Daphnia pulex: one gene and its partner. The protein of the gene in region 1 interacts with the protein of each later gene in a pairwise test. Links are inferred from orthologs where the notes say so. Each region holds a gene or a part of one and is shown on either strand. Other genes may lie near its edges.

The links.
Region 2: the proteins of ubiquitin-conjugating enzyme E2 variant 2-like (region 1) and nucleoside diphosphate kinase-like interact in a two-hybrid assay, tested with the Caenorhabditis elegans proteins (2 studies listed by BioGRID). The link is inferred for Daphnia pulex from reciprocal best matches to the Caenorhabditis elegans genes uev-1 and ndk-1.

Annotation. Positions count from the first base shown.
Region 1 is NC_060018.1:3,969,905-3,973,097, reverse strand, and holds ubiquitin-conjugating enzyme E2 variant 2-like, read right to left. Parts: upstream 1,697-3,193; 5' UTR 1,590-1,696; coding exon 1,562-1,589; intron 1,222-1,561; coding exon 1,073-1,221; intron 1,014-1,072; coding exon 888-1,013; intron 817-887; coding exon 676-816; 3' UTR 501-675; downstream 1-500. Other genes in the region: diacylglycerol O-acyltransferase 1-like, read right to left, coding at 2,035-2,214, 2,269-2,419, 2,482-2,660, 2,735-2,779, 2,849-3,105, 3,188-3,193. UniProt on the Caenorhabditis elegans protein: Involved in protein ubiquitination, but has no ubiquitin ligase activity on its own. The uev-1-ubc-13 heterodimer catalyzes the synthesis of non-canonical poly-ubiquitin chains that are linked through Lys-63.
Region 2 is NC_060028.1:8,036,083-8,038,847, forward strand, and holds nucleoside diphosphate kinase-like, read right to left. Parts: upstream 1,388-2,765; 5' UTR 1,255-1,387; coding exon 1,126-1,254; intron 1,036-1,125; coding exon 934-1,035; intron 876-933; coding exon 763-875; intron 704-762; coding exon 583-703; 3' UTR 501-582; downstream 1-500. Other genes in the region: E3 ubiquitin-protein ligase TRIM37-like, read left to right, coding at 1,644-1,649, 1,801-2,084, 2,156-2,264, 2,327-2,428, 2,499-2,675, 2,740-2,765.

The sequences.
Region 1 (3,193 bases):
TTAACATGTTACTATTTAGACACGAGTCCTGAGGGGAAAAAAGAGGAAAAACAACACGAATGTTTTCAAAAAAACAACTGTCACTTAAAAACGATGATTATAATTTCCTAAAGAATCCCTATAACGTTATGATAATCCAAAATTCAGCACAACCTTCCGGGAGAAATGTGCTGCTTCTATAATGAAAAACTAATCACGCGAGGTTTACACGACACGAAGAAAATACGAATGAAAACAAGAAAGTGTAAAAGGGGAGGAGTCGATGCCATGCTTACATTCTTACTTGGACATTCCCTGGATAGATGGCATGGTCAGTGTGGCGCCAGTAAATTCGTTCTTGATACTGCCGAATAGCCCAATACCACTCCTAATAGCTAATAGGAATTACAAATTTATATATTAAGGTGATGTAATAAAACGTGATAACGGATGAAAAAGAACACTGAAAATGTCTGTCCTTCTGTTTATTTGGTTGTGATATAAATCATAACCAAATCAAATATTTGACTTGCATGTGTATTGGCCTATATTCCAATGAAGCTATAAGATTTTACATCATTTTTGAGAAGGGGATTAGGCCAATAGGATGAACGTTCCGCAAAGAAAGAATGAAAGTTTCCTTTTATTATTTTCCACCATGACGACGACGACATCATTTTTTTCCGTAATAACAACTTAAAAATTGGTTCCCTCTGGTGGTTGGGGCAGCTTCATGTTTTCTTTAAGGGTCATCATCCTTCTTAACTCTTGCAATAGCGTTTTGATCGTATAGTTGCGCTGCCATTTGACCAAGATGCTCACCATTCGTTTGTCAACCTACCAACAATAGTTTGGTTAAATAAATGAAATCCATAAATATATAAAAACAATGTCAGATTATTATTTACCATTCCTGTTGTGTTGTGCACACCATTCATATTGATACGAGTTGTAAATCTGATCAGTGGGCACTCCTCTGGATATTTCATACCACACTCAATCTTCAAACTATACATTCTGTTCTCAAATGCAGTCTACAAAAAAGGCACAAAATAATTATCAAGTTATAAGGCGTGTTTAAATACAAGCTTACTCGAGGGGGGCCAATGATCATGCCTGTCCAGTGTGACAGGGTCATATCACTGTCATCCTCCAAACCCCAACTGATGGTTCCATCACCAACTCCTTTCTGTCCTTGTTCAAGTTCTTCCAATAATCGAAAGTTTCGTGGCACTACCACATCTAAGGTTACAATATCCACCATTTATACATTTGATAATATGGCTAGCCAATAATATGAAAATGAAATAAGCTTTAGAAAAATAATCTCTTTAAAGAGTTAGACCAATTAAATTTTTTTTTCTATTTTTTGACACAATCTGACAGCAAAAAATGGAGAAAAGGAAAACAACTAATCAGTCAGAAAACCGATACGATTTTAACCGAACCCTGGATATTGGCAATAATATGCCAAGTGATCCAAATGAAGTCAGACACGTAAAGTTTGATTGAATTTCATTAAATTTGTGTCAACCATACGAATTAAATAATTAAAAACCAAATTTAGAGACGTAAGAATTACCCGCTGATCCTACTCCTGTGGTTGCCATCTTGTATGAAGACAAACTTCTTACGCGCCGGGTTGCCAGATAGATTACACACCTCAAGCGTCGCAACGCAATGAGCCAATCAGCAAACGACAATGCAACATTGTTATCAACTGTATTTAAAATAAAAAAAAAAAAAAACAAAAAAACAAATTAAGACAAAATTTTGCTAATAATCCATGGTTTATTATTCATTGGACAACAAGGGGTATAAGTAACTAGAATAGGAATCCCAGGCAGATCACAAAGTAGTTGAGTACTATTTCATGTAACAAAAAAGGAGTATAAAAAAGAACTCGTGTGTGCGGAATGACAATATTTCAGAACTAAATAGACTCGAGACTAATTTCACCATTATTTTCATGAGGAACGTTTTTAGACCAGCATAGTTAACAGGAAAGTAATTGGTTGAAAAAACCCCACCGTGGCACTTTAGACAATGTGAATTCTATCGCATTTTGCTGAACTGTTCCATCAAGTCTTTACCAAAATGAGTAATTACATAGTCATGGTAGTACATCATGATGCAAAGAGGTTGACCGAGTATGAGCGACATCCACACCAAAACATTACCTAATCGCGGCCCAGCTTTTTTCTCGACAAAGTGAGACACGGCAGACAATGGTATCTGGGTAAAAGATTTAAGTTATTTAAAAATCGATTAAGGTGATAATTGTAATACCTGCAGCATCATGCCAGAGAACGCCCACAAATTAAACATTCGTAATGGGACACTGACCAAGTACTCGTGAAAAAACGCGCTGAGCAGGAAGACGGACACGGAACCGACAGTTTTACCATAGCCTCTTTCGATCAGTGGCATGTACAAGTGCCTAAATATCAAAATTGTATTTTTATATTACACGGATTAACCGATAATTAAGATAAAACATACCTAACGGCCCACCGGTGAATTGGCATGTTCCAAGAGCGCCAAAAAACATCGATATTAGTCGCGTTCCACCAGTCACCATAAAAATCGCGATCGGCGAATTTAAGAACCTCGCCCAACATGTTAAAATAGGAATGGAAGCAAAGATAGAACCAGATGAGCCATAGTAAGTGATTGGGAATCTGTGTAAAAATAGAAAACAGTTTAACAACAATCGTTTCATTAGAAAAATATGAATATCTTATTTGTAGCGCACCGCTAATTTCAATAATCTTTCGGTGGCAGGTACAGGTTCCATTTTCTGCATAAATAAATTACAAGAGTATGATTTATGATCGATGAATCAATGAATAAAGAAAAAAGGACAAACCGAGAATGTTTCGAGCGAGTTTTTAACGCTGGGAATTATCCATTGCTGGAAAAGACCCAGAACAACTTGCATTCCCACTAATACTTCGATGACTCGTTTGATCAAAAACCGCTTGCGGATACGGGAAGTACGTGGAAAATTGAGTTCGTAGCACAGCGTGGGGATTGCCATAAAAAAATACAAGTCATGGACAGTCAGATTATTTGGATAGGATACTACTTCGTTCATAGATTTGCCGTTGTCTACATCAGAAGGATCTAAACAAATACATAGTAAAAATCAGAAACCGGTTTAGAGGATAACTGGCCTTGAATGATAAGTTATATGGCTAGTACGCACGTGGCT
Region 2 (2,765 bases), on another chromosome or scaffold:
AACGTGATACTCGAAAAAGCAGATGAAACGGTGCCAAGAAAAATTTCTTTTTCACGTTGAACACTGATTTCTCAAGGAAGGCCTTTTGCTAAAAAGTCCGACTTAACACTAGGCCAACTAAGGACCGGCCCTGGACGGGCTAAAATTTTCTAGTATGAATCATAAAAATCTAATGCTTGTAACCGTCTAAACTGTAACTACAATGTAAACAAAACAACCAATTTATTAGCACTGTACTTTCAATATTCACATTTTCACGAAGCAGTGGATTTCGGCATAATTTAGTACATGTAAAATAAATTGATTATTCAAATGAACAACTTTGCAGTTGCATAGCATCACTTTCTCTAACTCACTTTTACCTTCTCAAAATATTAAATGTATCTCATTTCAAAGAGCAAAAAATAACTTTTTTAGATTGCTATGAGGCTAATAAGCCAATAATGAACAAGCAAATCATTATAAGTTATAACAGAATATTATAGATAATTGAGAAGACATTCTATTTCAGATTTATATTTTCTTAACTTTTAAACCATAAAATCTGATATGTTTTAAGGCAACAAAAATTTCTAAATGGATCTAGTCTTCATAAACCCAAACTTTAGCAGCTGGCTGCCATGAAACAAGTTCTTCATCCTTGAACCACAAGGCAATTTCCTTGTTGGCACTCTCAACAGAGTCAGATCCATGCATGATGTTCCTAATTTAAAGGCAAATGTAAAGTACAGTCTATCAAGTATCACTCAGAACTAGTCTTACCTGCCAACTTGAACACAGAAATCTCCTCTGATGGTACCAGGCTTGGAGTCAGCAGGGTTGGTCTCTCCCAACATTTGACGGCCAGTCTTAACAATGTTCAAACCCTCCCAGACCTGAGACGTACATTGCATGTATTAAAATTGACTGCTAAATGAAGTAACAAAAGTTTACCATTGCAACAACTGGTCCAGATGCCATATACTTCACCAAACCAGCAAAGAAAGGGCGGCCAGACAAGTCAGCATAGTGTTTCTGCAATAGCTCCTCAGTAGGCTATAGTGACATACACCATACATAAAACACAATTCAGAACAAATGACACATTTTCTTGACATACAGAACACAACTACTTTACAATCATACCTGCAGAAACTTGAGTGCGACCAATTTGAAACCTTTCTGTTCGAATCTTTTGAGGATTTCACCAACGAGTCCTCGTTGAACACCATCAGGCTTGATCATCAAGTAGGTACGTTCTTGATTTCCAGACATATTATTGCAATGGCCTGAGACTTGAAAGAAAGAAAGAACTGACTTATCTTAATGTCACAAGGTGAATGAACGTGATTGCAAAAAGCAGACGTGTAAGTTAACTTTTTACATTCTTCGCCTCCCGCGGTCCCGCCCAGCGGCTGCCCTCCCGCAAATTTCCGACATCTATTGGGCAAGAAATCAACTCCATTATCATTTGACAGAAGGTGTTTACTTCGTGTAACCTTGAATTTCTGCTTCGGGCGGTCACTTGAAGTCGTTTGATTGTTGTAGAATGTCTTTGTAAAATAGTCGATGTAGTCATCCAAGTCGTGACAAGAGCTGTTTATCGAACTCGCTTTTGTCTATTCCAGTTTTGAGCTTATTGATAGGCTTCATTTATTTGGAACATGGAGGTATATTTCCTTTATGTTATTCAGTTATTTTGTGTTAATTCCATTGAAATCAGCGATTATCGATTAAACACGTACATCTCCCCTGAGACTTTTGTTGCACATCTAAATTAATATAATTGTATAGTACCGATGATCTTATTTTCTTTTTCAGGGTATTGCTGATGTGTTTAGGTGCTTTATTTGCATGGACAAATTGAGAGATGCAAGATTATGTCCCCATTGCTCAAAACTTTGTTGCTTTGCCTGCATTCGTCGGTGGCTTGTGGAACAGCGCTCACAATGTCCTCACTGCAGACTTCCACTCCGACCTCATGAGCTTGTCAACTGTCGATGGGTTGGAGATGTTACTCAGCAATTAGAGAGCCTCCAGCTACAGAGTGCTCCTTCAGTTACACCATCCAGTTCAGTGTCAAACAGTGCCAGCACCACTGATTTGTAATTTTTTATCTTATCTCCATGAAAATTTAGAATCAACATGTTAATAATTAATGAATTAATATTTAAAGGTGTGATATGCACAGTGAAAAACTCTCAGTCTATTGTGTCACTTGCAAGAGCTGTATTTGCCATAAATGTGCACTTTGGGAAGGTACTCATTCAGGCCATATGTTTCAGGTAATTACAATTTTGTAGGATAAAAATTAGATTAGAAATAATATAATTTCTTCTCTTATCAGCCTTTAGATGGAATGTACGAAACTCACGCAACTAAAATTCGGGACGGAATTGCCCAGCTAAGGAGAAGACTTTTAGAAATAAGCATGATCGTTCAAGATGTGGTAAAACATTAGTTTTCATAACATTGCCAGTATATCAATCTTTTTTTTAAATGTGCCTCATTCATTAAAGGAGCGTAACGTCGAAAGTGTCCGAACAGCGAAAGATGAAAAAGTGAGTGAAATACGTCATGCGGTAGAATTGATAGTATCTCGTCTAGATTCTCAGCTACGAAGCAAACTCTTGTCCTTGGTGGGGCAAAAGAATGTTCTGACTCAAGAAACTGACCATTTGGAAGCATTGTTGCAGGTAGATTTCTTTACACTAATGTCTTTAAAATTTTAAAAATTGTTTTTATCACTTCGCATTTAAGGAAACTGAAGCAACACTGCAGAATGA